Schizosaccharomyces pombe: one gene and its partner. The protein of the gene in region 1 purifies or fractionates together with the protein of each later gene. This does not show direct contact. Each region holds a gene or a part of one and is shown on either strand. Other genes may lie near its edges.

Region 1 (5,151 bases):
ATTGTTGAGAAACTTTCTTCATTGACTTTACAGAGTTTAGCAATTGCTCGTCCAAACGTTTGTGTTTTTGGAAACCTGTTTAACAATTAGCGCGAAAAAAAAAGGAAAAGATGAATTGAAGGAGACAAAGCATACTTTTAGATTTAGATTGAGCCATCAAAACTATGTCGTCAGGGCTAGGGGCGTTAAATCCTAAAAGTGAACTTTTGCTTAGATGAATCTCAATTTGGTCCTCAAAAACGCGCTTCTTTGCGCCTGTAAGACATTTCGCAAATGAGGAAGGAGGAGCTAATTTTACCTCTTGGGGGTTCTTCTTCAGTTGGTCGCTTTCCACCATTTGTTTTTGGAGTGTGGTTTTATCATCATCGTCAGTAAGATGAATTTCATGAGACGATGGTTGTTCAGAGTCTTTCTTCTCTGCAATGCGAACCTTTCGAAACCTTTGCAACAAAAAATCATTTTCAACGTTTTTCTTATGTTTAGCTTGAATAGGCTCTTTTTCCTTTTCCTTTTCGGTTTTAGGCGGCTGCTGTTGAGTGGATGGAAAAGAAGAATGCAATTTTTTCCGTTCAGCGGCGAGTAATGCGAGCTTGGATGTTTTTTGTTTCTCTATGAATGTTAATTTCTAGTTCTCCACTTTTTGTGACTAATTATAATGGCGTACCTGGAACTACAAAGTTAGTGTCGTTAATTGTGTCACGTTCTTGATGGTCATTTGTGCTGGAGGATGGAAAAAAGTTGGGAGAATCAGAACTTGAAGAGGAGTCTTGTTTTAGGATAGAAGAAAGACCGATGGGATGTTCAGACGGAGGTTTTTGTTTTGCTTTTTTGGAGTTTAACAACTGAGACAACCTAGACATATTTCTAAATGAAAATGATGGATCGAGACAAAAAAATTACTCATTAAATAAGTCTATAATAATATACAAAATGCAAATCAATTGCTCAAAAGCTCATTAGCATGTATGCGTAAAATGTTAAATTGGAAGGTGGATGACGAGAAGTTAGGATGGATTAAGCGAATCAGATATACTGTATATAGTCAGATGGAAAATTGGGTGGTATGATAGACATACTCGAATGAGAAAGGTTTTGGTATGTATACAAGTAAGCAAACAGATTCAAGTTGATGATTAGTGGACTGAAACAAGCGAAAAGAAAAAGGCAAACAAGAAGTATATAAGTGAAGGAGTTGTGGAAAGGAATACCATAACAATGAACGAAAAGAAGTGAAACGGAGAGATAAAATACAAAGATGAATGAAATTTAAAAAAAAAAAAAAATAATAATAATAAAGGAGTAAACGAATTATTCAAGAAAAGAAAATGGAATGAATATTAAAAAGAAAAAACGAGTATGAAGCGAAATCCCTAAAAAAAAACGAGTAAATAAAAGAAAAGGAAGAACGATTGAGTTGAATTTACTTTTTTTTGCTTTGGTGATTGGACTACATTCAAAAGAGTTTTTGTTGAGAATGGGTATAATAGAAGATGGCCAGTTTATTTTATTCTTTCACTTTCTTTCTTTGTTTTAAAAAAAAAAAAATTAATAAAGAGAAACAAAATATTGAAACCATCTCGAAATGCTGTAATGAATAAATAAATTAAATAAAATAAGAAAAAAAATAAAAAAATTTCTATAAAGTTAAAAATAAATAAAATAAAATCAATTTAAAAAAAAAAAAAAAGAAACCAAAAAACGTCGAGCCATTCCTACTTTTGCTCATGTTCTCATCTCACATTTCTCACGTATCATCTTTTCTTCTCTACTTCGGGTTACACACCTTGGGTTACGCTTCCTAAAAGATTATAAATGGTCTTTAGCTACACCTTACTTCTCCTTATTATTGATTTAACAAAACCATCATTGCAGTTCGTCTAACAAAATAATGGTTTACCAACTCTCTATTGCGTAGTTGTGTAATCCGCAGTTTGCAGCATCTCGTAATATTCCCTGCTTATAACGGAATTTCACGATGTATCGCATGCAATACGTGCGGCGTTGAAACAATTGTGTTATTGTGCGCAGTGTGTGTAATACCTGAATGAGATTGCCTCTACTAAGCCATACTCACTTTGAACATGGTTGTGGTTATCTTTTAAATAACGTTTTGCAAAGTGTTATTGTTTTTGCTCTAATTGTTTTTTTTTTCAACAAGTGAAGTTCCCCTATTTAGATCAAAATTTCATCACCCAATAACAACACCATCATGCAAAGAATACTTCGGAATTTTAAAAGACAAAGAAAACTTCTTAAAATTTATTTACAGAAATAAGTTTGTTTCCTAAGGGATACTCACTCTAAAGACAAGATGCACTTCCCCTTCTTCCTCTCTTTCTCTCTCTCTCTCTCTTTGAACTAGTACCACCACTTCGCTTCTCTCCACTTTGAACCTCTAACCTAGCGAGGGTTTTACCGTACTCGCTATCTCGCTTTGCAAATCCACAAAGCTTCTGTATTACATCATAAGAAAGTAGAGTGGGCGCTCATTGGAAATAGCTTACGTAGCTCAGAAAACGAATGGTGCGAAGAAAAGGGGCTTTGCTAGAAGCTGCTCATTATTTGTCTGATTGGATAGCGAGCTATCTGATAGAAAACTACGTAATTCCTTGGATCGCAGTTTTCTCCAGTTTCTAATGCTAACTGACGCAAATGTGATGTAATGGGCTGCGATCATAATGACATGAGCAATTGGACAAGAAGCTATAAATACGAGTCCAAGTTCAACAGTTTAATCATTCAATTCAATTCCAATCAATTTAATTGTCTTAAATATTCAAAATGTCTGATCCCGCAAGAAAGTCTTTTACTGAACAAGGCAAGGAGAAAATGACTCCTGACTCCTCCAAGTCTACCCTCGACAAGGCCAAGGAATCCATTACTGGTGCCTACGACAAGGTCGCCTCTGCTTTTACCTCTGACGAGGACAAGAGCACCTCTCAAGAGGCTCATGACAAGGCTCAACGCTTTGTTGATGACAAGTTGTAAAGAGGTTCTTATGACTTAAAATTCATGCTTTTGGCTGGTGAAACTCAATCCACCAAAGCATCGGGATGATTTCTTTACCGATGAACGGACGAAAATGGTTTGAGGTCTCCTCAATTTAGTAGGTAGTGGTTGGATTGTTTTTATGAACGATCCATCTCATCACTTTCTAATGCGAGGTTGCATCCTTGACCAATTACCATCTAATTTTATGATATATAACGAGGTTACGTGATACCATCATATATATATATTTGCTCGACTTTTTTTACAAATTTTTTTCAAAAAGTGGGTGCTTATATATTCTTTGGTTCAAAATCTTTATCGATTTGAAGTAATGAAATATATTTTCCCTTATACCCTATATACTTTTTACTACCATATCTAGCAACTGTATTGTTTACATATAAGTAACGAGTAACTTAAAAACAGTACTGTAAAACAGTTAGTAGTTGTGACTTGGGTAACAAGTGTTTTCATCCACTGTTTGACATAGGAATGTTACAATGATGAAAACTCAAAACATTAGGATGGTGATAGAAACAACGGTAAAAAAGTTAGGATGTTTTGTTTATTGCCCTTGAATTCTTACTCGTTTCCTTTACCCTTATAATAATAATATTCCATATAGTTTTAGTCTTGTCAGGTTTGGTCAAAACGTGTTTTCGCTTATGAAAAGCAAAAACATTGAATGTTATTTTAAATTGGCATTATTTGTTTACTCTCAATGCCGATTGTTTACAATCTTTTCTGTCAGCTAGAATAGAAACAGGTTATGGAAAAGAAATAAAAATACTCTTAAACGATTTAAAGCGCGTAAATTTTGAAATAAGAGGGATCAAAAATTACAAGTTTGAACACGAAAGCGCCTTATGTGAATGTGAACAACTTAATTCTACCATAATAATTAACAAGTTAATAAAAGAACTAAAATAATGTTTCTACACATCTTCATAAATGTGTAATTTTTTAATATTAAATGTAAAGACAAAGCACAATGCCAGAAAAAATGAAGGACAAAAAATATTAGTCCCGATTTATATTTCTAGAATAGTACAATATCAACTCCATACCACGCCCTAATGTAAGTTATCTGTCACTTTAAACATAATATAAAAAAGAAAAACCTCCAACAATAAACATCATGTACAATGCCGTGTAAATCATATTTCCCAGCTTTCCTTTTGATAAGTTGATTTCCAAAAGCTCGGGAAATACGCCTAGGTAAGCTATATAAAGGAAACCACCAGCCGTGAAAGGAAGGAGTTTATCCTCAAGTTGTAGAAGGAAAGAACCATATGGTGAAGATGAAGATGAAGCAGTGTATATATATGTAGCGACAATTGCTCCCAATAATCCCGTCACCATAGTGATCATTTGCAACACGAGTACTTGCGATTTCGTATACCCATTTCTCAGAAGTATAGCCAAGTCACCAATTTCTGCTGGAATTTCGTGTAATAGAACAGCAAATGTGGTGGATATGCCAATGGAGGTATTGGTAAAGAAGGCGGAAGTGATCGCCAAACCGTCCATAAAATTATGAAATGAATCACATAACAAATTTAAATATACCACAGTTTTGTCGTTATACTCTTCACTAACTTCTTCAACTACATGTCTAATCAAATCAGGCTCGTGACCTTTAGAGTTCTGATCATCTTTGACATTTCGTTTCCGCAATCCTTCCACTCCTTTAACGTCAGTTTGAGTTGAAGAAGCAGAAGGTTTGTTTACACTTGAAGTCTCTTCACCGTCTTTCTTTGGCTTAGAGAGCGAAGACGGACGCTCATGTATTAAAATGCGGATTCCCTTATCCATTAGAAAGAATACTAGGGCTCCAATAAGGATTGAATAAACAGAAGATGCTGGAAAATCTCCTCCATTTGTCGAATACACAGTAGGAAGTAATTGTAGAAAAACATCGCCTAATAAACTACCTGCAGAAACTGCCACGAACAGATTTAACATACTCGTGTCGAACGACTTGGGAACAAGAAGAATAAAAATGTTAGGTGGTATTGCTGTTAAGAAAGTCGCGAGAATTCCATTCGTTCCCGAGGAGTAAGAGAACTGCTTCTCTACAAAGCTTTTAACTGAATTCAACCAAACGCAAGAATTGTTGTCTTTCTCTATAGTAAAAGCCTCTGACGATGATTCAGTATC
Region 2 (6,263 bases), 1.7 Mb from region 1:
TTACTCCGTCTTCGCCAATTTTGTTGTCACCCATGGCTTGTTAAGAGTTCTAGCTTGGATAACAGCTTTAGAATTAGAGATTCCGAAAACGTCAGAAATGCTTGCAAGTCTTTGGATCCCTTGACCATAGAAAGAATTGCTACACTACAGGATTTCAACTGTAGTGTTTGTTTGGATCCTTGTTTGGCTCCCGTTTTTATTATCCCTTGCGGGCACTTTACATGTCAAGAGTGTATGAGCATGCTAGTCGGCCAGAAGTATGGATCATCAAGCACTTCTACGATCATAGCAAAGTGCCCAATGTGCAGAGGTAATATAGTTCAAGATTCATTAGTTGATGCAACTATCCTTCAAGCAATCCATGGTCCTTTAAACTCTTTAAAGCAATTAGAGTTAGATATGAATCAATCTTTTTCAGAACAAGAAAGCATTAAATTAAGGTGGGAAAATCGTATTGACCAGATGTTTACCAAAAAATTTGGCAAGCGGGCGAGCGAATGGAAAAGCTCCTCGAAATTGAATCAAGCAAGACAAACAATTTTGGATATAATTGGCTCCAAGAGAAACGAAAAAATTCTGGTCTATTCTCAGTTCTCCCAGTATTTATGCCTCGTATCGCACATGCTAAAATTAGAAAATATACGACATGTTCGTTATGATGGTACTATGTCTGCGAACCAGAGGCAAAAGTCCCTACATTCTTTTAATAACGATAAAGATGTTTTAGTCATGCTGGTTTCATTGAAAGCCGGCAGCGTGGGTTTGAATTTGACGATTGCAAATCACGTTATTCTACAGGAACCATTTTATAATCCGAGCATAGAGGATCAAGCAATAGATCGTGTTCATCGGCTTGGACAGCAGAAGCCTGTCACCGTGTATAGGTTTATTACTAAAGATACGATTGAAGAGCGTATCGTCAGTGTTCAACGTAAGAAGCGTCAATTGGTTAAAGAAGCTTTGGATTCAAACGAAAACAATCCTCTGTCGAGACTTGACAAAGAAGAGTTGCTATATCTATTTGGGCTTAATTCATGATTATTTAATGTTAACGTTACTCAAATGAACTATACTCTACTGCATACTAAACTAAACGTTAAAAAAAGGGGTGGTGTAGTGTAACGCATGTACAATGTATAATAATAGTATGCTTTGATGGTTTTAAGGCCACAAAGCCAAACTAACTACTCATGAAACGTAATCAAAGTTATAAATTTATAAATGATAGAAATAAAGTGCAAGAAGAATATAATGAAGATAACTTTGTTATATGGCTACGAATATTAGATAAATCATAGGTATCAGTTCATATATGCAAAAGTAATCAGACCATTAGGATCCGTTTACTGATAAAATGCTAACGCTTTAGTTTCAAGCTTTAACAGTGTCAGTCGTAGACTCTTTGGGCTCGGGATGTTCGTTTTCAGAAGCAGCAGCGGCAGCAGGAGCCTCCTCCTTAGCAGACTGGTTGTATTCGGCGTCAGAAGTCCATAAAGTCAAGTTATCGCGAAGAAGCTGCATGATTAAAGTAGAGTCTTTGTAAGATTCTTCAGAAAGACTATCGAGCTCTGAAATGGCCTCATCAAATACTTGTTTAGCCAAATGGCATGCACTTTCTGGAGAGTCAAGGATTTCATAATAGAAGACGGAAAAGTTGAGAGCCAAACCCAAGCGCATAGGGTCCGTGGGAGGCAACTCAGCAACAGCAATGTCAGAAGCTGCCTTGTAAGCTTCTAAAGAGCTGTCGGCGGCCTCTTTGCAAACTTCGCCAACAGTAAATTCGGCCAAATAACGATAGTAATCACCCTTCATTTTATAGTAAAATACCTTGGATTCACCGGTTGTAGCGGCAGGAATCAAATGCTTTTCAAGGACGGAAAGGACGTCATGACAAATATCGGATAACTCATCTTCAATCTTCTTACGGTACTCTTTAATCAATGCGGCTTGTCGAGTGTTGCCCCTACTTTCCTCCTTTTGCTCTATAGAGGAAATAATACGCCATGATGCTCTGCGAGCACCAATGATGTTTTTATAGGCAACAGAAAGCAAGTTACGTTCTTCAACAGAAAGTTTATCGTTTGAGCATGCAACTTTCTTCATATTTTCGACCATTTCTATACATTATCAGTTAGCAAAGAAGCAAAAACAAAAAGGAGAGATGAAAGAAGCAAAGCCAAGTATAGACGGGTCAACAAACAGTAATTCAAAACGAGTTATCATTGCATGGTGAAGATATGAAGGTAATAATATCCTTAATTGCGTTGAGGTTTACCTACAGAACGGTGTTTCGTGTTACTCCTGATGTTAGTGAATTTCTTTGTCTTGGTGGTTACAAAGAAACCTCAAATCATAAGAGGAGATAAGAATGATAAGACAATCAAGGCAGTTCAATCGTGGTTTTAAGAGAAAAAAGGAAGCAAGGTAGGAAATAGAACAAAGGCGACAAAAAATAATGATTACGAAAACCATAAAATCAAGAGAATTGCAAGCCGTTCTTGTCCATAACCTCAGATATCATAAACATGTCCAACAACAAAACAATGTTGTAAGAACTCATTTTAAACCTCATCAAGCGATTTTGGGGACATTTTAAAATACACAAGTCATCCACGTACTAACCCATAACCCCTCTTTTTCTCAGCCGCATCAAACAAACAACCTTGCAACATTCAACAACGCAACCTGTTCAAGACCAACAATATTAAAAAACCAAAGAACTCCCACATACAGTAGCAAACTGCAATATAATAACTTTTCATCAAGGTCCCTTCATTGACAATTTCGTACTATTACGCTATATCTACTTCCAACAGCGGATCCTTATCACATACCTTCGTAGCGTTCAGCCTGTTCGGCCAACTTGGCGAGATACACCGAGTTTTCACGAGAATTACTCATATTTGCAAGGAATTATTAAAAGCGGTGGTTAGTTGAGGTTGGTAGAAGTGAGAAAGGAAAGTTGGGAAGGTTGGTTGGTCAGCCGAATATATGACGGACTATACTGAGATTTATGGATATCTAACAGAAACATCACTACACCTCTCTTATTCTTTTACAATATCGTAAAAATACTTCTTACACGTATGATTAGGCTTCCAAAAACAAATGCCAAACAAATGCCCAGTGTCAATAGGAATTCGGTAGAAAACGCGTTTTTACTCACTGAATGAGGAATTGCTGTCTTAAAGTATGTTACAATAAGTTTTTCTTTCGAAAACAAGATACCAAGTATCAAACATAAGCGTGAAAGATTACAGTTAAAACAATGAGTGCAATAATTGAGGAAGCTTGACAGAAACAAGAGGCTTACTTTAGGGGCAAAGAAGTTTTAGAAGGTTTTTTATCACTCTATGCAGGAAGCTTCAAGAAGAAGGCGTTTTTCTTTAGTTTTCGATGGCATATGCGATATGCTTGAATATCCGTAGGAGGCGGCGAAATTCCATTATATTACATTGACTACAAAGGAGTACAGTGAGCTGAAAAGTGTGTGTTATTATGTAAGCTGCTTTTCGGCGTTGTCATCACAGATTGGTGATTACCGCAAACGGTAATTTTACGAACAAAAAAGATCAAATTACATTGTGCTGATTAATTGCTCCTTCAACTTGTGTATTTTAAACTTAATACTTCTTGGCTTAAATGTAAAGTTTTTTAATTCTCGTTGTTCTAAAATTGCATACTGCGTTTATCATAAACCTTTCAAGTTTCCCTGAAATTGTTTCTGTTATCCTGAAACAATACGATATTCTTATATGAAAAAGGTATGAGTTGATTTAAACAAGATAATACGACTTTATAATTTCAGGGTTATTGTTCGCTCATTTCACTTACACGTTTGATGGGGTTTCTACTGCAATGCTGCAGTCCCGTTGTGGGCAACTTGATTGCGCGGTAATACGAAAAGTAGGATTTTAAATTGTTACAAGGGACAATCTGGTTGGGATAAGATTTTTTATAAGTCGCGGTACTTATTTTGTCTAGTAAACAAAACCGTCCTCTTATGTGCAACTTCAGCAGAATTTACTAACCAATTCTATTCATCCTTACAAGAAAATAATTAATTTGCACCAATTTGAACCTGGTTCAATATGTGTAGGCCGGAAATGAATTTAATTATGCTGCATTGGATTCTTACAAATACACTTCAAAAATATTGATGAAATTAAACAAAACTATGCTTAAAGATACTGTATTTTGTCTGGTATATGATTTGGGGGTCTTTAAAAAATTGCCTTCCATATCAATGATAAGCGTCTTAGCTGCCACACCTCAACAACACATCTCTAAAAATTGGCATTTCCTCTGTTGTTTGAGTTTTGTGAAATTATTCTTTAAATATTTTTAATAAATTCAAACCTCTCAATCAAATGTGGGCAGAAATCCTCTCTTTCTCACCAATAGAGTAATTATATAAATAATCCACAAACCGTTAGTTTGTTAAACCAAACGCTATTCGATCTCTTTGGCATTATAACTATTTTGATAAACCAAGAATAATACATTCATTGCTATACAACCTGTCAATTCTTAGCATCCATAATCCTGTTTGAATTATGCCATCCAATACATCCCGGTCAGTGCCTACGGGCTTTTATTACAAACAAAATGCTAGGATGCAGAACAGGCCTAGATTTTCTGATCGTAAACACTCGAGTAAATCTAAACATCGATTTCCAGTGGACCCTAGTTTGCAACCAGACGAAGCGGATGAGGGAACAAGATTATTGGGAAACAGTGATAGTGATCTATTAGAACCACCGTCTGAGCATTCAAGTAATGGGGAAGATGACAAGGATATTAATAACCCTCCTTCAATGCCTAGTTCTGTTTGTTCTTCCCCGAAAAGTCCACACCGTCACTATGAAAGCGATGAAGACATCGAAAATATATCACTGCCGGAAAGCCATCCAGAGGACATTCAAAGGAAAGAATTTGAGACGGAAAATGGGAAGAATACAAGAGATCAACCTAGTCCACTTGCTGAGGTCAGTGACTTTGCTATTTCATCCCCCCATGTCTACCCTAAATCAGCTAATTCTCATGATAGTCACTATGAACAGTTTGCAAACAACGACGTGACTGAGAGTGCTGTTGATGATCATCCGGCTACTCGAAAGTTATCTCGGGATGAGTTGTATTTACCCATATCTCCAAACAATGCTCAAGAACCAAAGTTTTCTGTCCTTGATGAATGGACCAAAAAGATGGTTGCCAATTTTGAAGAATATTCGGTAGAAGATGTTGATAAGCGTCGTGAAAGAAATAGGAAGTTGAGTGAACCGTTACTTGTAAATGGCCGTTATCGTGTTCGTGATCGTTGGGCTCAATTTCGTAAGTCAGAAATTGAAAAACCATATCGATTTACATTCTTTACCGATGAGCTTCCTTCTACTATCCATTCACATGAAATGTGGGAACTCGTTCACGATGGCCAAAGCTTTGAGGACCTTTTCCATTCTGGAGGAACTTGGTGGCTAGATGTCTCTTGTCCAAAGGAAGAAGAAATTCGAGTTCTGGCAAAGGCTTTTGGAATCCATCCTTTAACCGTTGAAGATATTACTCTCGAAGAGGATCGTGAAAAAGTCGAGCTTTTTAGAACGTATTACTTTGTTACCTTCCGTTCATTCAACCAATTACCCTCAAACTCTGAGTACCTAAAGCCGTTGAATTTTTATCTAGTCGTCTTTCGTGACGGTATAATTACTTTTCATATGAACCCGACACCGCATCCAGCTAATGTTCGTCGAAGGATTCGTCAACTGAATGGTTATCTGACAGTGAATGCAGATTGGATCGCATATGCATTGCTGGACGATACTACAGATGCTTTCGCTCCATTCATTGAGCAAATTGAAGATGAAGTCGACACAATTGATTCCATGATTTTGAGTATCCATTATGATCACGTAATGGAAGTGAAGCCTCAAGAGAGAATGTTGCAGCGCGTTGGTGAATGCCGCAAGCTGATCATGAGTTTGCTACGTTTGCTTGCCAATAAGGCAGATGTTGTTAGAGGTCTTTCCAAACGATGCAACGAGTCATGGCAAGTAGCTCCTAGAGGTGAAATTGCTTTATATCTTGGTGATGTGCAGGATCACATAGTCACTATGGTTCAAAATTTGAACCATTACGAAAAAATTTTATCTCGAAGTCATTCAAATTATTTGGCTCAGATTTCTATTAATATGACACTTGTTTCGAATGAAACAAATGAAGTCTTATCACGTTTGACTATCTTGGGTACAATTCTAATTCCGTTG

What was found. Proteins that work in one complex are often made in the same cells at the same time.
Region 2: the proteins of hsp9 (region 1) and rad25 purify together in Schizosaccharomyces pombe (affinity purification with western blotting, with the first as the bait; one study listed by BioGRID). This does not show direct contact.

Annotation. Positions count from the first base shown.
Region 1 is NC_003424.3:5,318,236-5,323,386, reverse strand, and holds hsp9 (plasma membrane heat shock protein Hsp9), read left to right. Parts: upstream 1-2,710; 5' UTR 2,711-2,781; coding exon 2,782-2,988; 3' UTR 2,989-3,430; downstream 3,431-5,151. Other genes in the region: ski7 (ski complex-interacting GTPase), read right to left, coding at 1-75, 136-609, 665-860; zip3 (ZIP zinc transporter 1), read right to left, coding at 4,087-5,151.
Region 2 is NC_003424.3:3,581,879-3,588,141, forward strand, and holds rad25 (14-3-3 protein Rad25), read right to left. Parts: upstream 2,964-6,263; 5' UTR 2,902-2,963; coding exon 2,835-2,901; intron 2,118-2,834; coding exon 1,372-2,117; 3' UTR 1,250-1,371; downstream 1-1,249. Other genes in the region: rrp1 (ATP-dependent DNA helicase), read left to right, coding at 1-1,038; vacuolar CorA family magnesium ion transmembrane transporter Mnr2, read left to right, coding at 4,557-6,263. UniProt on the Schizosaccharomyces pombe protein: Acts in cell cycle and stress checkpoint signaling by sequestering signal transducers regulated by the checkpoints. Required for the DNA damage checkpoint that ensures that DNA damage is repaired before mitosis is attempted.